4 linked regions of the Notamacropus eugenii genome follow. The protein of the gene in region 2 interacts with the protein of the main gene of each other region in a pairwise test. Links are inferred from orthologs where the notes say so. Each region holds a gene or a part of one and is shown on either strand. Other genes may lie near its edges.

Region 1 (6,968 bases), on a different chromosome or scaffold from region 2:
AGTCCCACCGCCCTGCGGACAGACACCCTGACCTGGACAGGCCTTTGGAGCTGGCAGAGCCCAAGTTACAGCCCAAGAGATCTGGGTTTTTCCTTATCGCTAAGATGCCAGCAGGGTTTGGTAAGGGGGTCCCCAAAAGGTGTCCTCTAGGTTAAACAAAGGACCACTAGGTCCAGGCTCTTCTTAATCCAAACTATAACAATCTAAAGGTTATAACAAAGGGTTATCAAGCTCTGGCCTTTACTGCCCAAAACCCTCCCAGGCTCTAGACCAGACCCAAAGCAGGGGGGCTGGGGGAACCCTGCAGGAGAGTCTTCAAATGGATGCAGGGGCAGCTGCGCGGGGGGCGGGGCTGTCCCGCCCAGCACTGGTAGTGGGGGGCCCGGGGTGCAGAGGGCTACCCCCCTCTGTCTCTACACCTTCCTCCCTCCGCAGTCAGGGACCCCGGCCTCTCCTGGCTCTGGGCAGCCTCCCCGGCCGACCCCTGCCCCCCGACTTCCTGCTAGCCCCAGCTGAAACCCCACTTTCTACAGGGGACCCTCCCCAGCGCCTCCCTCCGTGAGCGCCTCCCCATCTACCCTGCCTCCAGCCTGCTTTGTAGGCACCAGCGGGCACGTGGTCTCCGCATCAGATGGTAAGCGCCTCCAGGGCAGGCACCTGCCGGGCCTTAGGTATGCCCGCTGCTTTAGTTCTCCGCAAACCGCGGGCACTAAATAAGGAGGGCTTGACCCGACACGGCCTTCTGGGAAATGGAGTCCAAAGACTCTCCCGGCGCCTCATGGGAAGTGAAGTCTTTGTTCATTTCCTTCTCCCAAGATCCAGGGGTAGAGGTGGGAGGGAAGCCCATCCGCCGGACCTCGAGGACTAGGCTGACCCCGCTCAGGGGAGGGCCTGCCCTTGAACCCAGCTCTGTGTCCAGCCCCCTTCCACAAGTAGAGGGGTGCGATGTGAATCGGGATGCACCTCTTCGCGGCGCCCTCCCGTCCCGGGCCGGCACACCAGGGGTTAAGCGGCGGGGGCGGGCCAGTTTGGGCCCAGCCGCCCCCGTAGCCCCGCCCCCGCCCAGCAGGGCGGTGCCTTCTCCTGCCGCCGGCTCCGGCGAGAAGGGGCGGGCTCAAACAAGGGCCGAGCCAATCGGGTTCCGGTGAGGCGCGCTCTAGCCAATGAGAGGGGGGAGCGGGGTCCCGGACTAGGAAGGCGCAGCGGCGGGGAGGGGAGGCTGGGACCATGGGGCTCCTGACCATCCTGAAGAAGATGAAGCAGAAGGAGCGGGAGTTGCGGCTCCTCATGCTGTATCCTCGAGCTCCCCGAACCCTTGGGTGGCCGGGGGCCAGGGAAAGGCGCGGGCGGGCGCTACCACGCGCTCCCCCGGGGTGGGGGGAGGGAGGACGCGCCGCTCTGGGCAGGATCGTACCAACTACCCTGCGCGGGTTACGTAAGCCGGGATCGACCAATAGCCCTAGGAGGCGGTGGGTTGGGAGTTGGTCCGTACCATCCGGGACAAAAACGGGGGAGTGCAGGCTGTAGGGACTGCCCCCACGCAGAGGGGGGTGCGGCTAGAAAAGTGGAATGGGCCAACTACCCCGGGGGCATGGAAGGGAGCTCGCGTGCACTGGCGGGGAGGCGGGAGATGGAGGGTCCGGGATTTGGGCTAGACCCTAGCAGACTGGATCTCGGGAGTCCCCGGAGCACAAGTCCAGCTCGTTGCCTCCTTGTGTGTCCCAGGCACACAGTAGGAGCCTCATGAATGCATGTTGCCTTCCCTCTCATAGGGAGCTTCACTTTGTGCTAGGCTAGTTCTTCGAGGGCAGGGCCCGAGCGGGTTTCTTACTGTTCATCTTGGTGCCCCTAGTGCCAGGCACACAGTAGGTGCGCACCTAGTTTGTGGAAGGATCGAGGTGACCTTGGGCAAGTCACTTCCCTCCCTTGGGAGGTCCTGCCTCCGAGGCTCCTTAACTGCCGCCCCAGCGGTCTGGACAACGCAGGCAAGACCACCATCCTAAAGAAGTTCAACGGGGAGGACATCGACACCATCTCGCCCACCCTGGGCTTCAACATCAAGACCCTGGAGCACCGAGGGTGAGGGACGCCCCTCCCCAGGAGCTGGGCGCACAGCGCGGGCCGGCCGCGCCCATCCACCCTCTCTCCCTTCCTCCTCAGGTTCAAGCTGAACATCTGGGACGTGGGAGGCCAGAAGTCCCTCCGCTCCTACTGGCGCAACTACTTTGAGAGCACAGACGGCCTCATCTGGGTGGTGGACAGTGCTGACCAGCAGCGCATGGAGGACTGCCGCCGGGAGCTGGAGAGCCTCCTCGTGGAAGAGGTGCGCCAGCCTGGGGGCTGTCAAGTGGGAGGAGTCTGAGGAGGAAGGCCCTGCCTTCTCACTTACCAGAAAGGGACACTGAGGCACAGGGAAGAAGGAGCTCCTGTCTTTGGATCTCCACCACATGACAGAATGCCTAGCTCATTGTAGGGGCTTAATAAATGCTTGCTTGGTTGAAAAAAAGATCACAGGTCCACATTAACTTGAATCAGCATACATTCGTTTCCTGCTGTTTACCAGATACTGCGCTAGGCAGCAGAGATTAGCAAAGATATGAGAAAGTCCTCAGAGAGGACTGGTCTAGTGGAGGGTAAGACAAGTGCAGAGGCAGAACAGGAAGTAAGCGTTGTAAGATGAGGTTATGGAGTGAGGAGGGCAGATGGCCAGAAATGGAAGAGAATGAATTGGGGGGGGGGGGGTGCAGGGAGTCACATGACAAAGCTGGAGAAGTAGGTGGGGACTGGGATGCCAGGCAGCCCAAGACTGGGCGAGATGCCCAGTCCAGCTCTTTGCTCAAAGACCAGGCAGCTGTTTCCTGTGGACTTTTCTTGTCATCGTATCTCACTGACAAGCGCCCACAACCCCATTCACGTCCCTTTCCCTAATGCTGCCCTGGGAGTGGTGCTCACAGTGGCTCATAGGCTGGCTAGCTCAGAGCTCCCAGGTTCCTTCCTGGCCCTACCACCACCTTTCTTTCCCTCTTAGCGCCTGGCTGGAGCCACTCTCCTGATCTTTGCCAACAAGCAGGACCTCCCTGGGGCTCTCTCATCTAATGACATTCGAGAGGTGAGTTGAGGCCTCCAGGTGGCTGGATGGGATGGAGGGTTGGGAGGGCTGCTGTCTGAGAGTCACTCTCCCTCCTTCAGATCCTGGAGTTAAATGCCATCCGCAGTCACCACTGGTGCATCCAGGGCTGCAGTGCAGTGACGGGGGAAAACCTGCTTTTGGGGGTTGACTGGCTCCTGGATGACATCTCCAGCCGAATCTTCACTTCAGAATGACCCCTCCCCTCCTTGCCCTGGGTCACCGGTTCCTGGACTGACCCCTCGACCCAGCTGAAGGGCAGCCCCTCCACACATCTCCAGCTCCCACAAACCATCCCTCTGTCCTGCTTCTCTCTGATCCAGGGCCCCCCAGGGAGCCAGGACTGGGGGGGGGAGGAACGGAAGCCCAAGGGACCCCAACTAATGCCTCCTCCCTGTCATAACCAGATGCTGCTTGTGCTATTTAACAGGAGAGACCCTGCTGCTCTGTTGGAGAGCCTTCCTCCCTGGGGAGGAGTGGCCCCCATTCCCTATTTCTGTCCCTCCTGCAGCTCTCTGTCTGTGGATTGGGGGAGACTCCGGGAGGGCCCCTTCCTCCGATCAGCTGTGGGAATAAAGTCCTCTGTGCCCCTCGCTCCTGGCTGCTCTTCTTCCTCCCAGGCTCCTCTGCTGTCAAGGGAGCTTCCACACTCCCTCCCCATGCTCCCAAAGAGAAGGGTGGCCCACTCTGCCAGCAGTTGAGGGAGGGCAGGAAAGGCCAAGTCCAGAAGGCAGCTCTAGAACTGTCTGGTGTGGATGAGGACCTGGAAGAAGCTGGGCCTGCCCCGCCACCCTCCAGGCCCCTGGCCTTGGCCCAGCTCGCAGTAAACCAGTGGCCTAAAGTGATCTGGTTCTCAGTGGCCCTTGAAGTGTTGGGGGAGTGGGCTTGGAGGGGGGTGAGGGCCTCAGCGGCCCCACCAGGGGACTCATCAGTGCCAGCCTGACGTCTTCCGCCGTCCGGGGCCTCAGTTTCCCCACGTGGGAGTGGGCTGGGTTTTCCCTGAAGTCTATCTCAGGGCCTGATATGCAGTAGGTGCTTAATGAATGCCTGTTGCCTGGAGTCCAGGGCACCGATGGCCTTCCCCAGGCGCCAGGGGGCGGCCTTTCCTACGGAGTAGCTCATTCTACGCCTTTCCAAAGAACAAAGAGTTTTAGGACCGTCCCTGCGTGCACCATGGAGGGGCATAGGAGTCAGGAAGAGAGGCCAAGGAGAGCCTTGCGCAGGCGCAGAAGAGGCGGTGCCCGTCGGAGGCTGGACGGGAGGGGAGGGGAGGGGACAGCGTGGAAGAGGAGGCCCGTGGCCAGGCCGAGGCGCCGGAGTCCTGCGGACTCCGGCTCCTCGAGGATGTCCCTCAAGGCTAAGGACGACTACCGGCGGCTGTACACAGTGTCGGACACGCGGACCCATCCCAAGGGCTACACGGAGTACAAAGTGACGGCGCAGGTGAGTGACCGCAAAGCCCCTTTAAGAGGAGGAGGAGAAGAAGAAGAAGAAGAAGAAGAAGCCCCTTTAAGTAGGCGGGGCCGGACCGTTCCATCCTCGAGAGTCAGGCAGGGGTGGAGCCCCTGAGCGAATTTAGGACTATACTAATTTACGGGGGAGGGAGGGAAGACTAATCTGGGTTCCTTTAACGGAGACGCAAGGGGCGGGGCCAGCATGGGCGGGGCCAGCATGGGCGGGGCCTAGCTGCAGAGTTGTTTGGCTGGGGTTACCTCCACCTTGCGCAAACAGGTTAATAAAGAGCTGGGAGCTGCTGCCTCCCTTCGCGAAATGACCCCCGTTGCGGCCCGGAACACACCGGGGGCGGCTGGGGAGGGCGGGGCGCGTTGGGGAAGCCTCAGCTTCCTCCTCTGTGAGGCGGGCACCCCCTCCCAGGGTGGCTGAGGCAGCCGAGGTCGCAGGCGGTGAAAGCACCCCCGGAGGTCCGAGCCCCGCTTAGCGTCCCCGGCGCTTAGTAGGACTTGAGCAGCGCCGCTTCCTGGCCGGCTTCTCCTCCGCTCACTAAGTCATTAATGGCGTCGGCTGGGGGGTTTTCTCCCCAAAACCTCCTGTGCTAGGGCCCCCGGGGCCCCACGCACCTGTCCCGCTCAGTGCCCTGGGGGCGATCGCCGAGCCCCACCCCCTCCCTGGGAGGCTGCTGCTCCCTTGCCCAAGAGGATCTGAGTCTGGGGGCCCTCCGCGACCTACACGTTTTCCCATTTGGGGGGGAGGAATGCTGTCATCCCCATTTGCAGTGGAGGTCAGATGATCTGCCCAGGGTCACCCAGTTGGCACCTCAGACTGGATTAGAATTCAGGTCTTCCTCCATCTAGGATCCACTCCCCTCCCCCACCAAATGGCCTCTTCTCCCCAGTTATTGTGGAGGCAAGGGTGGCCTTGTCCTCTGATGTGGGGGGGTCTTGGGGGGCTGAGCCTGGGGCAGGGCTGGGGGGCCAAGCGGGTTAGCCCCTCACTGGCCCTGGCTTTCTTCTTCCTCAGTTCATCTCCAAGACGAACCAAGAGGATGTCAAGGAGGTGACTGTTGGGGTGGGTGGGGGGCGGGTACCCTTGTCTCCTGCAGGCAGCCCAGGGTGGGGCGGGGGGTGGAACGGCCAACTGCCCGGATCCAGTCCAGTCCCCTCTGGGCCTCAGTTTCCCTGAGTGCAAAAGGAGGGAGCCAGACGGTGGCTTTGCGTCCCGCTCGGGCCCAGGTGGTCATCTGGAAACGCTACAGCGACTTCCGCCGCCTGCATGGGGACCTGGCCTACACCCACCGAAACCTCTTCCGCCGCCTGGAGGAATTCCCAACCTTTCCCCGGGCACAGGTCTTTGGTGAGTGTCCGAGGCCGGGCCAGCCCTCAGTCGTCCAGCCTCCACAGTTGTCTGGCCCCAGCAGCTGTCCAGCCCTCAGACATCCAGCCTCAGTGGCTGCTTTGTCCAAAACTGTCCTGGACCACAGGGCCTGGGGGTGGGCAGTGGGGAGCACTGGCCCAGACTGCGTTGGCCACCCCATGCTGGGTTGTGACCCCCAGCCAGAAGTGGACTCTGCCCACCTCCCCCAGGGCAGCTTTGGCCTAGCCTCCACACTAATCATGGGATGGGGCTGTGTCATAGTCAACGGAGAAACACAAGTTTTGATCCAGAACAGAAGAGCGTTGGTGGGTGGTTTGTTTGGTGGGGGCCTGATGGTGTGCCGGTGTAGGCCCCCCAGCCTAGCCACTGCCAGGGGGAGGGGAAGGAGGCCTAACGGCTCTGGCGTGTCCTTGACCACAGGCCGATTCGAAGCCTCAGTGATTGAGGAGCGGCGGAAGGCGGCGGAGGCCATGCTGCGCTTCACTGTCAACATTCCTGCCCTCAACAACAGCCCACAGCTCAAGGAATTCTTCCGTGTACGTGCCTCCCCCTCCCTGGGAGCCATCTGGTGCCCATCACTCCTGCCTTGGTCTTCCCCTTGGGTGGATTCAGGGATCTCTGAGCACTGCTCCTGGATCCAAACTCAGTCCTTTGTAGGGTGGGGACGTGACCCGGCCCTTAGAGCCCAGTGACCTGCACATCCTCCCGCCACCCCTGGTGCCCACATCGCCCTCGGAAGATGCCCACCTCCCCCAGCCTCTGCCAGCGGAGCGGCTGGGCCGGGAAGAGCCTGAGGACGAGAATGAAAGGCCAGGTACTGAGGCAGGGAAAAGCTGAACTCAGGTCTGCAGGTGCTCAGCAGACACGTAGCAAGGGCTGCCCTTCCCCAATACCCCCATTTCTGATAAGTGCACCCCACTGGGGGATAGCCTGGAGTGGGCCAGTCACCTGACTGCTCAGGGCCTTGGTTTCTAGATTTGTAAGATGAGAAGGTTAGACTGGACCAAAG
Region 2 (7,008 bases):
TCCCAGCTAACACAGTGAAACAACTTTACTATGAGAGCTGGCATCCATACACATTCTAGTAAATTATCCATGTATGACCTCTAACAAAATGGTCCCTTCAACATTTGAGGTAACACCATAAAAACAAGAAATGTTTTGTTTTCAGAAACATTAAACTGTGACTTCAAATATATATTGACATTTACTGCATTTGGTTTGATTTCTTCATGGAATTTATAAATGGCTTTGCAGCTTTAGATTGCTATAAGAATATTCACCAGTATCTTCAAGACATGCACAGTTTAAAGAGATAGTGGCATTGTAGCAGATCAACTAGAGCTGTAGGTTTCATGTTCATAATAAGACAAAGATTAAGCAGCTATGAAGTCATTATTATACTTAGTAATAGACAAAATAGCTATGGAAAACAAGGTGGTTTGGGTTTCTTTTTAATGATTCAGGTTGATGACAACCTCCAAGTAGTTATTTTTCTTTTCTCTCAAAGCTTAGCTATTCTCTGTTATGAATGTTGTTCAAGTCATTGGAATTGCCTGGCCATCTTTGTTTTTTTGTTTTGTTTTGGTTTGAGAAATGTTTGCCTGAAAAAGCTCTGGAGGTGTACTAGTTTGTGAAGTACCTATAGCAGTTTCACTGGTCTATTTAATATATTTGTCCCATTGTGTTCATGATTAGTTCTTATGCAGCTTTCTTGATGGTTAGGTTATTTGGATGACAGTATCAAGAGTCTCATAGTTTTCCTTTCTGTGTGAGACTGAGAGTTTAGGTAGAACTTTGAATCTACTATCACAATCCGTCTTAAATTCTTTATTAGGTTCCAGATGCCAAAGTTTAAGGCTGAAATTTAAGATAAAGTCATCTAGCACTCCAATTAACCCTCTCTCTTCACCTTCTTGTTATACTCTAAATGGTTTTCCAGTGTTGTGACCTGCATTGTAGGAGTTTTCTCCAGTGTTTGGTTGGTCTAATCTGTAAAATGTTAAGGAAAGAGCCATTTAAAATTTCTGATCAGGGCAGTGTGAGTACAGCCAAATATTAGAGTATTAAGTGCAATCTTAAGTCCCCTCTTAAGTTACAGGCAATACTTTAATCCTGAAAAATCTTCCCTCTTCTGTTCTCAGCAATTACTTTTGAAGGTTGCTTATTTGAGTAGCACCCAAACAAAAGGAGCTGGTTCCTTTTCTGTGCTCTTGGCAGTTCTTCCCTCCTTTTAGGACACATAAACTATGATTCAGCCAATTTCTTTAAGCCTAACTGAACTGCTCATTCAAAAGAAAATGGCAAATTATTTACTATTATCACCCTTGAATTTTTTTTTATGTGAAATTAGATGAATGTCAAAATCAGTGACCTTCCATTTCTCACTTGGCTTACATATCAATAAAAGTGAATTAGGATATTTTATTTTCCTTAGACTTTAGAGTTAGGATATTGCTAATATAACATTCAGTGAAAGACTGGCTTATGCTTTGATGTTTCTAGTTAGAACAAAATAGGGTAGCTTATCTAGATATGGTAAAAAAAAAAAAATTTTTTTTGATATGATGGAAAAGAAATTTACCATACTATGAAGTTGTGTGGGTTTTGTTGCACTTTTCCTGCTCCTTATAACCTGTATTGGGAATAGCAACATTTCAACTTCATTAACAAAAAGTGCAGGACACTTGGCCCTGGCCAAGAGAATCTCTCATTTAAAAGGGTAGATTGTAAAACAAGCAGACTGTAGATCAATTGGTTTTCCATACTCAATTGTGTGGGTTTATTAAGGAAAAACTGTTGTACTAATAATGTAAAAATGTAATGCAGTTGTTAGATGTATTTTCAAAAGTGGTAAATAGTAAAGAATTGCATGTTGCTCAGAAATTCAGAGTTGTGGAAAGATGCTTTGTTTTTATTTTTTAAAAAAACAAGCTGATTTAAATATAAGCATATTTTTACAACATTCAAACCTCAGATGTTTTGTTCAGCTCAAGAAGTTATACCCCTTGTCCATTACTATTTTCTGGTGTGAAACACTTTTCTTTTCTCTACCACTTTTAGTGGTAATCACAGTATGTGACATGAATAATTTCTCCATTTACCATTATTGTGAGGGCAAATAATTTAAAATGAATCTTCCTTTTTCCTAACAGAAATGTATAAAAGGAAGTGGCTGCTCTGTACAAAGATTGTATTGCCTCCCCAATGGATGTAATTTTGTGAGTGTATCACACACACCAGCTTCCTAAAAATGTTTATAATGCATCTTTTGAAAAAAAAATTTACAAGCAAACTTTGTGCATACATTGCATCAACATGGCAAAGATTGTATAAAATACCTTTTTCAAGAAATAAAGGTTTAAACTCAACTGGGCTAATGTTAAATTCTGAATTTATTGATCAAAGCAGACTACTAAAAATACTTCTAGCCCTAACCTAAATATTAAAGTCTTCATCGAACTTCCTACAGCTCTATGATGTGTACAATTTGTTTATTACCCCCAACAAAGTTTTCTTAATTCTTAAAATGTTTCAAAGTACATGTTGTATCCAAACTGGATAAAAGAATTATCACTTCAAAAAAATTTCAGTATGGTTGCAAAATTGAAAAACCTTTAAATCAAATACAGGGACGTTGTGGTTTGGAGCCATGGTTCCAATTGCTTCATTTGGAGAATGTTTTTTTTTTAAATCCAACCATACTAGTGTCAAAATAAAGATAATTATAAATTTGCTCAAAAGTTGGATGAGCTTATCAGTTTAATTTGTAAAGTCTGCTGGTAGGTGTGTTTATCCTGTTATGATTTGGTACTTTTCAAAGTAAAAAATGAATACAACCTCTCATCTGTTTATATTACAAAAGCTGAAAAAAGGAGTGGGGAAAGAATCTATAAGTATGAATGTTTATAAGTGAAACATTTAGAGAACTGAAGATCTAATCCATTTTTTTCTGTTTATAATTGGAACATTATTAACACTGTTAACTCTGTAGGGTTTTTTTTCCCCTTTCCTTAAAAAAATTCCAAAACTGCTCATGGGAAACTTCAGTGGTAAAGGTGGGGAAAACTTAGTGGAAAACTCAGACAACCTTACCTATATAACTGTTAGGCTGTGAATATGGAACAAGTGCACAGGAAAGTTCTACAATACAGATCATATTCCATATAGTACCTAAAAATTCTATTATCTTACCATAGGTACTTTACCACCTGACCTAAAGCATTTTTTTTTCCTTAGGGCTGGATTTTCAAAATAAAAATATGTTCCTGCAATTCTGTGGGAGACAGTATTTTTCACATAAATTATTCCCCTTTATCCTCAAGACCTTTTTTGAGGAATTTAACTAGTTGAGGGTATTCCACCTTACCTATTCAACTTCAATACTTCAGTCAGTCTTGAGTTCTTCCCATCCCTCAAAGATATTTTATCATCTAAACTTTTCCTTTCACTCCTTACCCTTCAAAAAACAAAAGAGCTCTTCAGCGTTTCTTTAACATTGAATACCAGTCCTGCTTGGAGTGATCTGTAACCACCATACCGTATATGACTCATCTTGCCTTCAGAAGTAAAGCAACAGTTGAGTCTTTGGGAGATTCTGATGTAAAGCCACAAGAAGTTCACGCTTTAGCTGTCCAGTTTTAAAGGGCATGCCGACTGTTGCTAGGCAGTTTCTAAAATAAAAATGGAAGGGGCAGCCATGTGGCCCAGCGGATGCAGCACTGGGCGTGCAATCGGGGAGACGGGTTCACACACCGGCTTTGCACCTAGCCTGTGGTAACGAGGATGCAACGTTTACAAAGCCCTTTCCAACTCCAAGGCCGCTGCCTAAGTGACCCCGCTGCTTTTAGATCTCTGTCCAGTCAGGCCTTTGGCGCCGCTGGAGACGGCTGTGCGGGCCGAGTGACCCCAGAACGCGGCGGGGGGAGGGGTGGCTCCGGACCAAGCCCAGGAAACGCTGGCACAAGCTCGCTTGTGCGCATCACAGTGGGCGGCGGGCGGGGGTCAGCACGGTAACGTGGTTTGCCCAGGACCACACCGCTGGTGATCTCGGGTCCTCCCGATTGGGACTACTCAGCTGCCCCAGCCGCATAAAACTCAAACACCAGGCCCTCCCCTCCCTAAACGTATGGCCATTCTGTTTTCATTCGTGGACTTCTACAAAATGGGGATGAAATATAATGGGAAAGCTCCCGTCTGCTAAGAGCTGCTGCCAGCTGGAGCGCCTCGTCATTTTACCGAGAAGATGGTCCTAGGAAGAGAAAATTCTGCGCCTGCGTCGCGCTCCACGCGCACGCGCAGACGCGCTCGAATCTCTTCCGTACCTGTGACAGTTGAACCGCTTCCGAACCTGTAATGGGGAGGGGAGGAGAGGGAGGGCTTAGAAGGGATCCAAGGGTTGATTGGCCAACCCACACATCTCCCCGCCCCTCAACCCAGGCCTTTCTTTATATCTTTCTCAGCCTCGTTTTGAAAACATGCACCGATTCGTGGTTGGTTGGTATGAACTTCAGCTTCGCCTGAATTCTACCAATGAGAAGACAGGCTCGCAAGACCTGTCGGGAAAGGGAACCGGCCTATAAAAGGACTTGAGGAGAAAGGCCTTCTCTGTTAAGGATCCTGCGCAAGGTTGTTGGCGTAGCGTTGTTATTTTGTATGTACAGATCCCGAGGCGGTGGCCGGTTATCCTGAGAGGTGCTACAGCGACCATGGCCGAGGGGGACAATCGCAGCACCAACCTGCTGGTGAGTAGCCCGGAAGCCCGTAGCCAACACAGGTCTCAGACCTGCTTCCCCTGGGTTACTTAGGTGCCGCGGCCAATCTGGTAGCCTGGCCGCCCCAGGTCGAGGCTCGCGAGCCGAAGTAGGGTCTTCATCCCTGTCCTCCCGGCTCCGCTGCTAATGCTTAAGTACCGTTGTTTGGGCCTCGAGGGGTTTGGCTGCCTAACGATCCTTCCTGAGTGGAGCCTGCGCGGGGGAGGAGGGAGGGGGGCAGGGGGGGGCAGGACGGGCCGAAGGCCTTGGTCTAGTCGTCGGAAGAAGAGGTGGATGGATAGATGGATGTGAGCAAGACGAAGAAGCGAATCCAACTTGACCCTGCTGTGCTGGAGCTTGGTCAGGCCCTTTACCCTAATCCTCAGTGTTCTCCTCCCCCGCTTCCGCTCCCTTCCGGCGAAAACATCGAGGTGCTGGGCAGAAGTAGAATTTTCCTTGTTTTCGAATGAGTTCATCTGAAGGTGAAGGCTTCTTGCTGCCCAGAATGGGTGGGGAAAGCTGGAATGGACCGGTGACAGCAGATTACTTAACGCGTGATTTTTGGAAGAGCGGCGGAATGCTTGTCATTTGACTGGGATTTGGGTGTCAGACATTCCCGGGCTCTCGGAGCTGGAAAAGGGTCTTCGAGATTATCCGGGCCAACACCTCTTTAGAAATGAGAAATGCTCAGATCTGGCGCTGATGGCTTAGAAAACCTGGGTGTTCTTTCCTCCGTGTGCCCTGGAAGCTCGGTTCATTTAAATGAAAAGTTTGGAGTTTGGCATAGTCATCTCATGGAGGTCATGAAATAGATAAGGCCTGGTAGAATGTTAGGAAGGTAGCAGTTTTAAGATCTAGAGGTAGAAGGGAGCTTCTTAGAGAGCATCGCATTGGCCCCTTCATTTTGCAGGTGAGGAAAATGAATCTCTATAAAGTACAATGACTTGCATGTTTTAAGATAAAGAAATACTAGAGTATTTCTCATATGATTAATTCTAAGGGATTTTTAGAAACAACTGGATTTCACATTAGTTTTTAGACTGCAAACAATTTTTTAGCTGTATTATTCATTTTTCTTATGTTGACCCTGCTACTTCTTCTGTTTTTTGCTTATTCAAGAGCTTCACTTTGAGACAATTTGAGTTCCTCAAATTCTCCCACAAGCTACAAGGAGAGTTGTATTGAGTTTAAGATGGAACATCCCAATTTGATGAAATCAGGCTTCATCTCTTTTATATGTTAATGCAATATATCTCTGTTTCAAGTGATGTTAAAATCTAGTGGTCTCTTGTTACAAGAAAGTTATTTTGAAAATTGAAGGTTGTCTGGAAAATCTTAAAAAATTGAAAGACATCTTAAGAGACCCTCTTAGTCCAAGAAAGATGTAAATCCCTTTTATTAACCTTATTTTATGCGTTTACTAAAATGGTGATTTTTGTTTTGAAAACTACTGGGGCCTGAACCTAGAATTAATAATCCTTTGATAAGGTTACACTAAATAAAAATTTAACCTTTCAACCTAATGACTTTATTAATGTTTTGATGTCTTTTTTCTTTATATCACCTATATTTCCCAGTCCATCCTTTTACCATCTTCCCCCTAGAGAGTGACCTCTTATAACAAAGAAGAAAAAGCAGTTCAACAAAACTAATCAATACATCAGAAATGTCTGACATCATATGCAGTGTACCACACCTAGGTGTCTTCTGTCTTTGGGTCTAAGCTTGGTCGTTATCATTTTACAGTAGTTAGGTTTGCTTGTTTTCTTGTTTTTCTCATGAACATTGGTTGCAGTCATTGTTTACTTTATACCATTCTGCTTATTATTTCCTTTACTTAGAGTTTGTAAGTCTTCTCATGCTTTTATTTATTGATAGCATTTTCATTATTTCTTTTGGCACAGTATTATTTCCTCACATTGATGTGCCACAACTTGTTTAGTCAGTTCCAGTTGATGGAAATAGAATTTATTTTCCACTCTGTGCTTGTACAAAAAAGTTCTGCTATAAATATTTTGGCATGTTGGGGGAGGGGGTCTATCACTGACTTTTAGGTGACCCCTGTAACTTTTTTAAAAATTAGAATTATTGGCTAGTTTCAGCTGAGAATGTGTTATGAACATTGTAGCACCATAAAAGAATTTAGCTTTCAGATAGCCAGGACTACTGTTAAAAATATTGTAATAACTGTTTAAAGTATTTCTTTATGCAGGCTGCAGAAACTGCCAGCCTGGAAGAACAGTTACAAGGATGGGGAGAAGTGACGCTAATAACTGATAAA
Region 3 (7,842 bases), on a different chromosome or scaffold from region 2:
CAAAGAACTGGAAATTTATGGGTACCCATCATTAAATTCAACAATAAATTAAATGGGGAGTAGATAAACAAATTATGGTATAGGAATGTAATGGTCCATAACTCTAACATTCCTCTTTTCTTCTTCTTTCATCCTTACCAATCCTATTCTCTGTCCCCACTGACACTTCTTATGCTAGAAGAAATGATGAAGAAGGTAGCTTCGGAGAAATTGGAGAAGACTTATATGAATAGATGGAGTCAGGTGAGCAGAACCAGAAGAGCGTATACAATGACCACACAGTTAAGACAAACAACTTTGAAATACTTAAGAACTCTGAGCAATATAAGGACCAATCATACTTCCTGAGGCACAATGATGAATCATGTCACCCACCATCTGACAGAGAGGGGATACACTCAGATGCAGAATAAGATAAATATTTTGGGACATGGTTAATTGCCCGGGGTCTACTCCTGGGCCTTCGCCTCTCCACTTACCGATCCCCGGTCTTCGGACGTCTCCGGCCCCTCTCCCGGTTGGGGGAGGGCAATAAACAGGCAGAGCACCCGAAAGGAGTTGCAGTCAGCAAGCTTTATTGCATTTCTTCCCCTTCTCCTTCTCCTTCTAAGCCCTTGTGATCATCCCCTTTTATTATCCCTGTCTCCTCCCCCGTACCTCCCATGGGCGGGCGAGCTCCTCCCAAGTGCCTCCCCGCGGGTGGAGTCAGCCTGTTACCAGGGCCATCCCAGTACCCCACAAGGGGGCAGGTTTGGACCCTCAGGCGTCTCACGGTCCTCACAGGGGACCCTGGTCCAGAGCTGTCCCCCAACAGTTAATGTAAGAATTTGTTTCGCGTATTTGTTACAAGGATTTTGTCTTTTTTTTTTCCATTAGGGTGGAGATGAAAGTGAGAAAAAAATGAATTCTTGTCAATTGTAATTTTAAAAAATTTTGTAATGATTATGGATTGATTTATCACAAACCTTCCCTCCAGTCATCCTGCCAAAAAACCCCACCACTCCTTCTCTTGATCCTGCTGCCCCTCTTCCTGTCATATAAGCAGGGAGCTTACCATGTAAGCTAGGCAGCCTGGACTCTCAATTATGGAGATTCTGAGTAAAGTTATAGGATATGTCTACTACTACTGGAAAGGGTGTTTCAGTGGTGTGGCTGATTTGATTATGATTCCTAGAGCAAAAAGTACAGCAAGAGCACATGATAAGACACATATGCTGCTGTGACCCTGGTGTTCTGGTCCAGGGCTGGAGGCAGGATAGTTGGATAAGATGAGGCTTGGCTGGTTATAGAGGGTGGAGATGAAGGATGATTTACTTACGCTCCATTCAACCCTTAGGTGCACATCTGTTCTAAAGGTGAGTTGATAAACTCCCCCTGGATGTGGGACAAAGGAAGGGTCTGACTGAAAGGTCACTGCTTCTGCCATATCAGCACAGATCATAAAAGAAAAGGATAGAATTGCCCATTTTCCTGACTTGGTTCAATATTTTTGCCAAGAAACCATGTTGTCTCTCACATGAATGAGTGAAGGAACGGGAGATGTTTATAAGGGGGAAAGAGATGACTTGGGGGTGGAGAAGAAGGAAGTCTATGATTTGGTGTTTCTGTTCAAGCATAGGCTTGGATGACAAGCTGTCAGGTATCTTATGGAAGAGATTTCTAAAGGGGGGGGGAAATTGGATTCGATGATTTACAAGTTTTCTTCCAACTCTAAAAGCCTATTATCTGACTAACAGAAGATGACAACAGGATAATAGATCCTAGGGGCAAAGCAGGATCAAAAGGAAGGGGTTCTTTTAAGGTTTTTTTAGCGGGGAGAGGAGGTTGAGGGGAAGAGTAAGTTGAATATCTATGCATACTTGTTGATAGTAGGAAATGAGCAAAATGAAAAGATTGAAGATTTGAGAAGAATTGATTAATTAACAAGCACTTACTAAGCACCTGTATGTGCCTTGCACTATACTAAATACTGAGGATGCAAAGACAAAAATGAAATCCTTGCTCTCACAAAGCTTATGGGGAGACATTTATATTTGTGTATGTAATATACATATATACAAAATAATTACAAGGTAGTTTGGGAAGGGAGTATATTAGCTGATGCAGAAATCAGGGAAGGCTTCATATAGAAGGTGGAACTTGAGTTAAATCTTAAAGAAAACCAGGGATTCTGAAAGAAGCCAGTGAATTCCTTGCCACCGGAACAGTCAGAGCAAAGTCAGGAGAAGGAACTTTATGGGTAAGTCAGAAAACAAGTCTGGATAAATCTCAGACTGAAAGCAACGTATAAGAAGGAGTAATTGAGAGATCAATATCTTAGACAAGGTGGGGATGGGGGAAGAGATAGGGATCAAGAGTACAGGTTAGCCTTGGAAGGGGGAAGAAAATGAAGAAAGGCTAGTGGAAAACATATACTTGTGAGGGACAGAAGAAAAAAAAAAAAGATGAGCTGTGATGCTCCATGGGCTTTAAGTTCCATGATTTATCAGTCAAAAATGTTATCCAGTAACATTTAATGCACCTTTCTCAACCTGCCTAGACTGCAGAGCTGTAAATCCTAATTGACTTCAGGCGCGGAACCCTATTCCCGCTACAAATTCCAGCCTATTTTAATTCAAACCTACTACACATTACCACCTGGCACTCCTTTTGAATTCTACACCCACCAAACTGGACTTCTTTGTTCTTCATCAGGGACATTTTATCTTCGCCGGGTTCTCCCCCCCTTTTCCCAGGAATGAATTCCCTTTTCAACTCTGAGACTCAAAGAATTTCTAGTTTTATTCAAAGGAAACTGAAACTCAGTTGCAGCTCAACCCTCACCTCCTATTTGAGGCTATTCCCGATCCCATCCAGCGCTAGTACCTTGAGCCCTAAATATGGTTACTTAATTACCTTTTTCGTTACTTTGTATACATTTTTGACAACGAGGAAGCGGTGTTGGTAAGTGGGGAGCGAGTTGGTCTCAGTCAGTTTAAATTCTACTTCAGAACCCCGAGGTAAGTTGCTTAATCTCCCAACATTCCAGGCAAACCGTTTAGATTTATATCTTAATAAATATGCCTCTTACTTTACAATAGTATAATATGTCTTAATTTGTAATAAGTACTGTAATTATTTATTACAGTAATCTTAATATAGAAATTACAGAGAACTGCCAAGACGTTTGAATTCACAAGACTGGTTCAAAGGCATATGTGAATGTGTTTCTACGTCTAGATCGTCGCGAGCAAAGGGACAGTTGCACTTGTCTCTCGGTATCCCTAGCAACCTGCCCGGTCTCTAGACGCTTAATAAATGCTTGTTGCTAGATGAGTTGATTACACGTGCCACAATCCAATCAGACAGTACTAGTCCCTGGAGCCGCTACCCAGAGCTTGGAGCTTCGTTGGGTGACGTCACCACGTTCCTTCCCTCGCAGTACCCTGGGGCTTGTAGTCTGGGAGGGACTTCAAGTTCCACACTGCCCCGCGTTGGGTCGCGGCGCCTGCGCGTTGCGCGCGGCGGGCAGAGCTGAGTACGGGGCTCTTTTGTTCCGCGGAGCTGGGACGATTGGCTGGGCCCGGGGGAGCTTCGCTTAGCCTATCTTAGGTGAGGAGGGGCACCAGGCTCTAGCCGCGGCCGCCGCTCTTTCTGGCTTAGACAGCTCATCCTCCTTCTCGCTGTCCCCAGCCTCCTGCGACGCGCTAGCGGCGCGACACCGATTCCCCCCGGGTTGAGTCGACGCTGCTCTGAGGTAAGGAGGGAGGGGTGTGTGTGTTTGTGTGTCTGAGAGTGTGTATATGAGAGGATGTGTCTGGTGACACTGGGAAACCGAGGAGGGGGGCCCGGGGGGTGGGGAGGGCTCTCGGCCGATGGGAGTAGGGCCGTTAGGAACCCGGCGCGCGGGAGGCAACCCCCACCCCCTCCCCCACTACTCCCCCAGTCCTCGGTCCCTTCCCGCGCGCAGACCCCGGGAGGGGGCGGGGCTCGTGGAGCGCGCGCGGCGCAGGAATCCCGAGTCGGAAACGGCCGGTGTGGTGGGTTGGACCCCGCGCGTGCTGGGGGCGCTTCGCTGGTCCTAGTTTCTGGGGTCCTTGGTTAAGGGGCCCCCTGGCGAGAAGGAATGTGGCCCCGGGGCTGTGGGGGAGGAGGGGCGGAGCTTTAGCTACTTTAGCCGGTATTGTTATTACCCGCTACTCTGTAAAGGAAAGGGGGTGGGGCATAGGTGGCATTGAACGCCCTTCTTCTGCCCCGGTGGGGAGGAACTTGATTTTTTGTAGCTGATGCATGTTGATGCTTTTAAGAAAAAGACTTGAGGTTTGAATAACGTCCAGGAATTGAGGTCCCATCTCCAACTGTAGATTATCTCCAGCTGATGCAGTCTGTAGTGTGTACATGGTTTGCAGGTTGTCCACTACACGTGAACTCCAGGAGAGCTTTTCTTGTGCCTGGTAAGGGGAAGGCGCTTCATAATTGCTTGTTGACTCGACAGATAAGTGGTTGTGTATTCGTGTTGTCCCCCACTGTGAGCTCCTTGATGGTAGAGATTTACCCTTCCTCTTTCTTTTGTGTCCCCGGAGCGTATAGCGCAGTGCCTGGCTTCACTTAATAAATTCTTATGGACGAAGCGTTAAGGCAAAAAGTTTGAGAACCCGAAGTTCTCTTGCTTGATGTACTTCATGCTAGCAACTAGCAACGAAATTTTGAAATAAAATTCCACCCATGTTACATTAGAAGAATCATTTCCAAGGCAAATGCAATAGGAAAGTGAAATGAACTTTTCATTACGACGTTGCCCCTTTCCCCCATTCCAAGATATTTTCCACAGAAGATTGTAGCGGAGATCTTGTGCTCAAGTTTTTCGTCAGACTTCAGGGTGAGGAAGACTTGGAGTTGTTGAATCCCACCTTTAGATGTTAGCTGATTGATCCTGGGCAAGTCCCACAACCTTTTTTCAGTCTCAGTTTCCTGGTCTATACAGTTGTATTCGATGGCCTCTAAAGTCTCTTCCAGCCCTAAATCTGTGATCTTTGGGAAGTCCCTTCTGCTTTCCCTGGATCCCTGGATGGTGGCCTTGCTTTCCATCGATCTTTGGTGGGAAAGCCTAAGTATTGGTTTACCTGATAGTCCAAAACATGAATGGAGCCATACCCTGGGGCTTTGAGGCCTTGAATTGTATTCCTCTGTTCAGCCTTTTGTCTGACAAATTTGGGCCCTGAATGGCTGCTGGTGACGTTAAGGTTTTGTAACTACCTTCTTTGGAAAGAATTGCCCTGGTAGATAAAGTGTGTAGAAGAGGATGCCTTTTCTTTATGCCCTTTTTGTAAATTTAGGTGGTTCTTGGGAGCCAAACCTGGGAAATCTTTGAGAACCACTTTACACCTCTTTTAACCCTACCCTGAAGACTAAATTCTAGTTCTGTTAGGTTTGTATGCACATATTAGCAGGAGGCATCCTGTCTGTGCCTTTGCTGGGGCTGTTTCCTATGCCTGGAATGCAGTTTCTCCTCACCTGAGCCTCTTCGAATTCCTAGCTTCCTTCCAAGCTCAGCTCAGCATCACCTATTACAAGAGGCCTTTCCTACTTTTTTTGCCTTTGCTAACCTGTAGTATGTTCTGCCCTCCTATATCTTAAGTATATTTTGCATTTATTTATATGTGTATATGTTGTTTCTCCTGTGGGATGTAAGCTTCGTGACTGCAGGGGGCCTAACAAATGCATGTTGATGGATGAAGCTACCTAAGGGCAATGATTTCTGCCCTTTATTTTCACTGTTGCCTCCAAATGAAGAGTCATCTCTGCAGTTAGGTGAGTGTCTGAAAAGTCTGAAAGTGAGTAGAAGCATGTGATAGATACTGTGATCCTCCCTAGAAGCCTTCCAGACATTTATATGGAAGTTAAAGGAAGCCTCTGGTTTTGTTTTTTTCCTATAATGACATTTTTGTTCCCAATAGCTTATATATTCCGAATTGTTTTTCTTTAAAAGTGAGTAGAGGATATGGAGGATAGTGCTATAGCCTATGCCAGGTTCTTGATAAGAAAAGATGTGCCTACTCTTTTCTTCCTCTGTCTTTGTACCTGTGGTTAGATACCTGAATTTTTCTAACCCCTTCTGGACAAACGATATTGAAATATACCAGAAAGGAATTTTCTAAATGAGAGAACTTAAGTACACCTTTAAAAGAGGATTGCTATATAATGTCATTTTCAGAACAGTAGGTGCAGTTTCGTTCACTAGTTAAAAGCATTTGTTAACACTTACTACATTCTAGGCATTGTGCCAGGTGTTGGGGGTACAAAGAAAAACAAAAAAGTCCCTGACCTATCCTACCATACAGTCTTTGGAGATGAGGGCTCTAGTAGCTAGGGAATCAGGAAAGGCCATATATAGAACAGGACTCTTCAGGCTGAGCTTTGAAGGAAGGTAGGACTTCTGAGAGGAAGAGGTGAGATAGAAATAGATTGTGATAGACCTGAGATGGAGTATCACATATGAAGGAAGGGCAAAGTAGGACAATTTCACTGGAATATACAATAGGTAAAGACAGCTAACGTGAAATATGCTTAGAAAGGTCTGGAGACAGATTGTAAAGGGCTTTAAATAACAAACAGAATTATGAGTTTTTATTTAACCCAGAAGAAGTAGGGAGGTACTGGAGCTTTTTGAGCAATCTGAATCTGGCAATGGATAATAGGTGTTTATTCTGTAATGGTGTGGTATTTGTTGTTCATTTGTTTCAGTTGTGTCTGATACTTTGTGATCCCATTTGGGGTTTTCTTGGCAAAAGTGCAGGAGTGGTTTGTCATTTCCTTCTCCAGCTCCTTTTGCAGATGAGGAAACTGTAACTTGTAACAAAGGATTAAAAAAAGAGTAGAAAAACAGTTCAGCAAAACTAATTAGCACATCACCTGACTAATAGTCATAGTATATGCAGTAATTTGGAGACAAACTTGTTCATTATAATTACATAACCATTTTCATCATTTAAAAATTCCTTCCATTAACATTGTGTAGTCTTTGTGTGTATTGTTTCCTGGTTCCTTTTCTTTACTCTTTATCAGTTAATATAGGTCTTCCCATGCTTCTCTGAATTATTATTTTCCATTTCTCATGGCACAATACTATCCTATTGAATTAATACACCTCGGTTTTTAGCCTTTTCCCAATTAATTGGTGGGTGGGTTTTTTTTTTTCTTCCTGTTTTTGGCTACCCTGGAAGGTACTGCTATGAATGTTTTGGTGTATGAGAGACCATTGTCTTTAACCTACTCCTGTAAAAGGAATCTCTGGGTCAAAGGGTATGGACATTTTAGTCAGTTGGCATAATTTCACACTGATTGCTTGGACCAAGTTTTCACTCTACCAACAGTGTATTAGTGTCCCTGTGTTTCTGCAGCCTTTCCAACATCAGCTTTGCCAGTTTGGTGCCTGGTGATGAAACCTGAATTGTTTTGATTTGCATGTCTTTAATTTTAAGTAATTTGGAGCAGTCTTTCACATGGTTATTAATAATTTGTTATTCTTATGAGAACTGTGTTGTTTTTTTTTTCAGTCATCCATTGAGGAAATGGCTCTTTGTCTTATATATTCATATTAGTTCCCTTAAATGTTAGACATCAGACCCTTATCAGAGACATTTGAAGCAAAGATTTTTGCCCCAATTGACAGCTTCCTTTATCCTAATTATATTTATTTTGTTTATTCACAACCTTTTTAATTTTATGTAGTCAAAATTAGCCATTTTATCTTTTAAATTCATTCTTGTTTGGTCAAGAACTATACCTCTAGCCCCACCTGAGATAGGTACCTAATCTAGTTTTCTTCTATTTTTAATTTTATCATATGGCCATTCATATTCA
Region 4 (6,931 bases), about 380 Mb from region 2:
AGCTCTTATTCCTGCCTGGGCTTCCGTTTCCTTGCCTGTAAAAAAAGGCTGGATTGGACCAGTGGGGATACTTGCTAGCATTTATATAATGACTTAAAATTAGCAATATTAATGTAACATAATATTATTTTCTTAGATTCTCAACAATCCTGTGGGGTGAGTGCTTTAGTATCGCCACTTTACAGATAAGGAAATTGAAGCCAATTCTCTGGGGTTATGAGTAAGTTTCTAAGATAGGACTTGGAATCAGGAAGTCCTGAGTTCAAATCCAGAACTCTACAATGCCTCCCAGAGGCCCCTCCCAACTCCAAATCCTTCTGTGCTCAACGAGGAACCTCGTGGTAACTAAACACTTCTGGCTTCCCATAATGCAGCTCTTTGGTGCTGCTTCCCCATAAAAACTGCCAAGAGCCCCCTCCTTGCTGGTTTTAAATCCTCTTAAATGTCTACTTCTCCAAATTACATCTTCCATTCTTAATACCAATTTGCGTGTATGGGTGAAGTCCCCAGAGAGCAGCTGCAATGGGGAGTCACCTCACCATTTGCGAAGTTTTCTTAGAGCCTAAAATAGGAGAGAGATTTTTCCCACCTACTGGCCCATGCCTCCATTTCAGTCCAGATGCTGGCGGGGCGAGCAAGGTCTGGGTGGGAGCTGTTGTGTCTGCTGGAGAATGGGCTGCAGGCTGGAGGCGGCTTGGCCTAAAGCATTTCTGTATTCTCCCCCTCTCCTCCATTCAGGCTGAAGTTAGCCCGCTCTTCTCTCCAGGGTCCTGGTGCCCTGGGAGGAAGACCCTTGGGTCATCCACTGGGCAGTACCAGGCTGGAAATTTAGCCCTTTCATTTCCTCTATGGAGGATGGGTGCAGGGGACCCGCTGCAGCTTGCCTTGGTAAAACAACTTTATTGCCTTAATAAATCTAGGGAGAGGAGTGAAAGGATAGGCCAGAGCCCCTCCCCCCCCAAGATTGGTTCTCCTCCCCTCCCACCGAGAACAACGGTGTGGGGGTGATGAGCCTCCCATTAATGGGCCTTGGCTGAGGGCCCCAGTCAGATGAGAATGCATTCAGCCTCATCCAGGCGTGAAGCTTTAATTTACAATTAAAATATTATGGGCACATATTTTAATAAAGATGATTCATAGCACCAGACTGAATCTACACTCCCAGTGATAGAGATGCAGCCAAGAATCTGAAGAGGGGCGGAGCAGGTATCTGGGTGGCAGAGAAGCTTTGATGGAGGCTTTTGTGCAGAAGGGGAGTTCTAATCTATGACCCAGGGTTGGGGAGGAGCAGCTTGAGCTTCTCTGTTTTTCTCAGGAGCCTGGGGGCTGCTATGAAGAAGGCGTTAGACTCAGTTGTTTCTCCAGGACAATTGCTTTATCTACTTATTCTTTTCAGGGCTTTAGTTATTGTATTATTTTTTCTGTGATTTCCTTGATAAGGAGGCTCCCTCTACTATGATAATGATAGTAGCTAACATTGCTAAAGCACCTACTATGTGCCAGACACTGTTCTAGGAGTTTTACGAGTACTATGTCATTTGACCTTCACAATAACCCTGAGAGGTAGTTGCTATTATTATCCATATTTTACAGAGGAGGAAACCGAGGCAGGCAGAGGTTAACTGTCTTGCCCAAGGTCACATGCTAGGAAGTATCTGAGGCTGGATTTGAACTCAGGGTTTCCTGACTCCAGGCCACTGGGCCACCTGGCTGCCACAAACATTGCTGATCAGAAAAGAGGACTACAGCACTCTGGGGAGCTATGGGTGGGAGGGAGAAATGAAGAGAATAGTTTTGCCTTAAATACTATGCCTTCATCAGTAATTGATGTCTAAGTGTCACCATGAATACATCGATTACTTTGGGGATAAGGTGGTTTCTGCATTGGGATAAAGTGAGGTATGCATTGAGGCATTCACCATCATTCACACTTTAGTCTAAATTTAGCTGGATCCTTTCCATGTGAATCTGAATGCAGGCTCAGTTTGGGGGAAGACAAGCAGGCTAAGGGAGGAAGGAAGAGGCATGGAATCTGGGGCAACAGAGGTTTCCAAGTGGTGGGCAAGACTTAGTGAAGGCTGCTGTCCCCGGGACTATTTGTGATTCTTAAGCATCATATTTTAGTCCTGATTGGACTGACAATCTAGAATTTGGGCAGAAGAGGAAATGTAATAAACGGGGGCATGAAAGCTTTTGAGGAGTATCTGAAGGGCCATCATGTGGAAGCAGATCAGTAGTGTTCTGTTGAATCCCACAAGGCAGAACTGAGAGCAGTGGGTGGAAATTACAGAAAGGCAACGTTTGGCCCAATTGAAGGGAAAACTTCCTAACATTTTGAGTTTTCTAATTAACTAGGACAGGTAGTGAGTTCCTTGTCCCTGGAGGTCTTCAAGCAAAGAGGAGGTTGTAGAGGGGGTGGGACTGGGCTCCTGTTCAGTTCTGGATTGGCCTTGATGCCCTCTAAGATTGTGTAATTTTGTGCCAACATGAAGCAAATGTGAGGGCCTGTTAGGTGGTGCTTCCTGGCAGACAGCCAGCCTGGAACCTCTGAGTAAGGAAACCACGTAGGAGCTTTCCAAGACACAAGGTTTCCTTTCCTTCCATCCAATGCCTCATGATACTGAGGATCCTAAAGGGCAATGAGCAGAGTTCTTCCATCCTCTGTGCTTCATTCCCACAGTTTCTGCCCTTTTTCCCATCCTCATTACCAAATCATTTTTCCCATTTGAGAATTTGTTTGTTTAGCGGATAGACTTTACCTAGGTAGAAAAATAAAGCCAGCTCCAACCCAGCATTTCACAGAAAAGTACCAGACTTGGAAGAATATCAGGATCATCGAGAGGGGCATTTTGGTTTGTTCCTAGAGTTTTTAAATTAGGAGCTTAACAAGGGTCAGCAAAAGCCCCAGGACTCCAGTGGGTGCGTGGTCTCATTGTCTGCCCATCACCGTCCCCTGGCTGCAGCTCTGGTCCAGGATCAACGATGTCACATTTGGTCATTGAAATTTCATAGCGTCAGTTTCAGTTTTGAGGTGGGGTGGTTCTTTCTGTTTCCATTGTTGTGGGTAGTATGTCTTTTTCCTCCCCCCTGCCCCCCGCATTAGTTCGTATAAATCTTCTTATGCGTCTTAGTAATCATTTCTTACAGCTCAGGCATATTTCTTAGAGCTTGGTTAGCCATCCTCTAGTTCTTGGGCATGTGTTTTCTTTCCAGTTATACTGTCCCTGGACTACCCTGAATGTTAGCGGGTCCCACCAAAGTGCTGGGAGCCTTCCTGTTGTTCTGCAGATATGGTGGATGCAGGCGGAACACATGAACTGGCCATCAGTTCTCCCTCTCTCCCTCCTTCTCTCTACCTGGTTAGTCTATTTTCTTTGCTTCCCTCATTCATTCCTTCAATGGCATTCTTTGCCCCTCTTCTCATTCATTCATTCATTTATTCAGTAAACATTTATTAAGCTCCTACTGTGTGCTAGGCGCTTTGCCAAGGAATACAAAAAGAGGCAAAAGACAGCCCCCGACCTCAAGAAGCTTCCTTAACTATCATGCATTTCAGGGTGGTCGTCATGCTCTTCTCCATTGTTTTTGGTTTTTTTGGGGTGAACCTCAACTTTAATTCTTTGGGATTCCATTTCTCCTGGTCATAGCCATAAAGAAGATTGGTATGTAAAAAGATGGGCCTGTGTCCCAGGGAGAACTTGGGGTCATTAAAAGGTGGCAGCTTCCCCAAAGCAATCCAGCTGGACCTCCCCTCCCCTCCTGGGTCCATCTCCCGCCTCTGTCCAATTATATCAGTCAGGAAGTGTTATTAAGCATGTGCCAGGTGCTGGAAATACAAAGACCACAGTGACAACTTTCACTTATTATAGGTGTTTTCCCCAAGTATATTGGGGGAAAGCCCCTGGTCTCTGGAGGGGACTGTGGAGAGCCTCTTGGAGAACAGCTTGCTTTATTTTCAAGCCTCCCCCTTTAGAAGGTGAGCTCCTTGAGGGCAGGGGCTGTGTTTTGCCTGTTTTTGTATGCCTAGCACTTGGCAAAGCTCCTAACACATAGTAGGTGTTTAATAATATTTATGGATTCATTATTCATTTGAGCTGAGCCTAGAAAGGATTCCAATGGGCCGAGGTGAGAAGGGAGAGCACCCCTCTGTGGAAATCACATGTGCCTGAAGCATTTTATTGCATTAGACAGCCATTTCTTTTGCCTATTTTGGTGAACTTCCTTCTTAATAACTATTTCTAAGCACCTTTAAAATGAATCTTAATTATATAAGAAAAGTCATTAAAATGTTCATACTTTTTGCCCCATAGAGTTCCCTAATGAATGTATTCCCCAAGGAGGAAAATGATAGAAAGGAAGGTTCCATCTATAATGAAATATTCATTGTGGTGAACTTTGTGGTTTCAGAAAAAAACAAAACCCAACTGCAAACACAATTGTTGCCTGGGGACTTAGGTGTGGTTGAGCCTGTACCTGGCTTAGTGCCTTTACACTGGGGGAAGGGGTAACCCCTTGCAGAGAAGAGCAGGAGCCCCAAAACAGATGAGGGAGGGAGAAAAACTGGCCAGAAAATGCTGGGTGGAGAGAATGGGTACCGGTATTTCCTGCAGAATAAAAGGGGCATGTAATAGGTGCTTGACTTGATGGACGTGATGAGGGATCCCAGCGGTGCAGAAGAAGGGCACTGGATTTGAAGGGAGATGATGTGGGTTCGAATCCTTGCTTTGCTGCTTGCTTACTTGTGTGACCTTGGCAAGGCACAACCTCTACAGGGCTCAGTTTCTCTATCTGTAAAATGAAGTGACTGGCCAGGATGCTCTCTGGGATCCTCCCTTCTATCTGTAGGAGACTTGTATTGTTTCTGTCTCTAGCAGTGGCACATAGTAAGTATTTAATGTTTGTTAAGTAGTGCTTGTTGGCTGACTGAATTCTATGAAAATTACTTTGTTATAAAAAAGGATGAGGGGCCAGCACAGAGTAGAGCATGGAGAGTTGGCCTCAGGGTCAGGAAGCTCTGGATTCAAGTTATAGAGTCATAGAGTCAACAAACATTTTATTATTAATAACAATAATCATAAATAAACAATATAATTGTTATTAAATTTTTTATTAAGTGCTTACTGTATGCCAGGCTGTGTAGCCCCTTAGGGACCTAGGCAGCTTTCTAGACTTTTACATTTCAGAGCAGGTACAACTCTGCATTGGTAAAGGGAATTTCTTCACCTGGAGTTCCCTACACTAAAGAAATCTCAGGCCTAGACAAAAAGAGGAAGAAGAAGAATTCAGAGAACCGTGGGAAAACTTGCATTGAGTAATGGAGAATGAAGAAAGCAGAGCTAGGGAAATAAGGAATACAATGACTGCCATTGAGCAAAAACAGCTCTACTGACCTTGGTCCTGGAAATCTGATAAGAAAGGTAGTGAGCTTGTCTCCTCCACCTCAAGGTGGGGAGCTAGGGAAGTGGAATACAGTATCCATGAGGTGACCCAGACACTGTACTGCTTGGCTTCACTAAAAGAGGGGAGGCTTCAATCAGGGGAGGCAGATGGAGACATAAAAAGGCATAAAATCCAAGATTGACAATGGAGCATTTAAAAACAATGAATCTTGAGTAGTTACTGCTTTTTGGCAGCCTGTCATTTCTGTGCTTCCTTGTGTTGGTAGCTTAGGGTTTCAGTTCCACAGTCTCTCCCTACTTCCCTCCTGTCCCATATGGCTCTGAATCTGTTTCCTTCCCTAAATTCAACTGGTCAAAGGGAACCAATGCAGAATTTCTCTCAGTGGCAAATTTAAGTTCCTACTTACTGACCAATAAAGGACACCTATTGGGCCCAGTGCATCTTCTGTTTCCTCCTGTGGAAGGAAAACCTGAGCTTACTATAAGAGCTAGATTCTGTTTTGGAGGCAGAATTCTATTTGGGAGTGAAAGGAACAGGGTCCTTGATATTCAGGAGTGGGAGAAGCTCATTTGAGATAGCCTTGTCATGGGAAGATAGAGTAGATTAAAAATGCAGAATAAAAGGGAGAGGAGGGAGTGAGGATGAAACAAAACCAATTTCTGCCTGTCTGGTCAAAGATGTGAATCTTGTCTAGACCTTTGTCATGTCTAGGAAAGCGACTCTCCTGTCCCTCTAACTGCTCTTGTGCTCACCCTTATGACAATCTCAGGAAATAAGTCTTTTTTTTTCCAACAGAGCTGGCATTTGTATAGCATTTTAAGCCTTGCAGAGTGTTTTACATAGGTTAATGCTTAAATACTGTTATTATACCCATTTTATGGATGAGAAAACTGAGGATGAGTTTAATTGATTTGCATAGGGTCACAGAGAATAAATGTTTGGGGTGAGATTTGAATTTTTGTCTTTCTGACTCCAAATCCAGCCCTCTAGCCACTATCTCATGAGAGAGCCTGGCTATGGTACTGGCATGGCCTCTGCCCAAGGATGGAGAAATGTTTTCGCTCCTATGCTGATCAGCAGTGCAGGTAGTGGAATGTCACCGCTAAGGTCTTATCTGTTAGGGTCCTGTCACCCTGGTGCCATTAACCCAGGCTTGAGCTCCCCCCATTCCCAGTAGCCATCCCCAGTAGCCACCCATGAGCTGCGTTCTCTGAGAACTGACCATCCTCTCTCCTAGAGGGAGCATCTGGGATTAGTCTGCTCTCTATGGCTCCAGCTTCTATCCAAATTGGCCCTAGGCACCAGAACTCCTAGTTTCAGGGCCACAAAAACTGTGTTTTATTGCAAAGGTGACAGGTTGGAGGCATTGAGAACATGCAGCCATGATTCTTTAAGAAGAACCAGATAAAAGGCCATGCTATGGTAGGAGAAGCCTGGAGTATGGGGCAGAGACTTGGGTTTGAATTTTGGCTCAGTTGCTTCCTTACTGTCTGGCCTCAAACAAATCCCTTGATCTCACTGGGCTTGCCTC

What was found.
Region 1: the proteins of ARL6IP1 (region 2) and SNX15 interact in binary tests that used the Homo sapiens proteins (3 or more experiments, as listed by UniProt). The two-hybrid records come from large-scale screens. The link is inferred for Notamacropus eugenii from reciprocal best matches to the Homo sapiens genes ARL6IP1 and SNX15.
Region 3: the proteins of ARL6IP1 (region 2) and SNX11 interact in binary tests that used the Homo sapiens proteins (3 or more experiments, as listed by UniProt). The two-hybrid records come from large-scale screens. The link is inferred for Notamacropus eugenii from reciprocal best matches to the Homo sapiens genes ARL6IP1 and SNX11.
Region 4: the proteins of ARL6IP1 (region 2) and SNX10 interact in binary tests that used the Homo sapiens proteins (3 or more experiments, as listed by UniProt). The two-hybrid records come from large-scale screens. The link is inferred for Notamacropus eugenii from reciprocal best matches to the Homo sapiens genes ARL6IP1 and SNX10.

Annotation. Positions count from the first base shown.
Region 1 is NC_092873.1:17,764,222-17,771,189, forward strand, and holds the start of SNX15 (sorting nexin-15), read left to right. Parts: upstream 1-3,966; 5' UTR 3,967-4,300; coding exon 4,301-4,570; intron 4,571-5,605; coding exon 5,606-5,641; intron 5,642-5,817; coding exon 5,818-5,938; intron 5,939-6,379; coding exon 6,380-6,495; intron 6,496-6,616; coding exon 6,617-6,773; intron 6,774-6,968. Other genes in the region: ARL2 (ADP-ribosylation factor-like protein 2), read left to right, coding at 1,228-1,292, 1,969-2,079, 2,161-2,323, 3,029-3,109, 3,190-3,324. UniProt on the Homo sapiens protein: May be involved in several stages of intracellular trafficking. Overexpression of SNX15 disrupts the normal trafficking of proteins from the plasma membrane to recycling endosomes or the TGN.
Region 2 is NC_092874.1:400,666,870-400,673,877, forward strand, and holds the start of ARL6IP1 (ADP-ribosylation factor-like protein 6-interacting protein 1), read left to right. Parts: upstream 1-4,007; 5' UTR 4,008-4,326; intron 4,327-4,423; exon of another isoform or gene 4,424-4,436; 5' UTR 4,437-4,682; coding exon 4,683-4,718; intron 4,719-6,939; coding exon 6,940-7,008. UniProt on the Homo sapiens protein: Positively regulates SLC1A1/EAAC1-mediated glutamate transport by increasing its affinity for glutamate in a PKC activity-dependent manner.
Region 3 is NC_092873.1:353,054,587-353,062,428, forward strand, and holds the start of SNX11 (sorting nexin-11), read right to left. Parts: upstream 3,014-7,842; 5' UTR 2,896-3,013; intron 1-2,895. UniProt on the Homo sapiens protein: Phosphoinositide-binding protein involved in protein sorting and membrane trafficking in endosomes. Regulates the levels of TRPV3 by promoting its trafficking from the cell membrane to lysosome for degradation.
Region 4 is NC_092874.1:17,419,940-17,426,870, forward strand, and holds the start of SNX10 (sorting nexin-10), read left to right. Parts: upstream 1-3,911; 5' UTR 3,912-4,319; coding exon 4,320-4,388; intron 4,389-6,931. UniProt on the Homo sapiens protein: Probable phosphoinositide-binding protein involved in protein sorting and membrane trafficking in endosomes. Plays a role in cilium biogenesis through regulation of the transport and the localization of proteins to the cilium.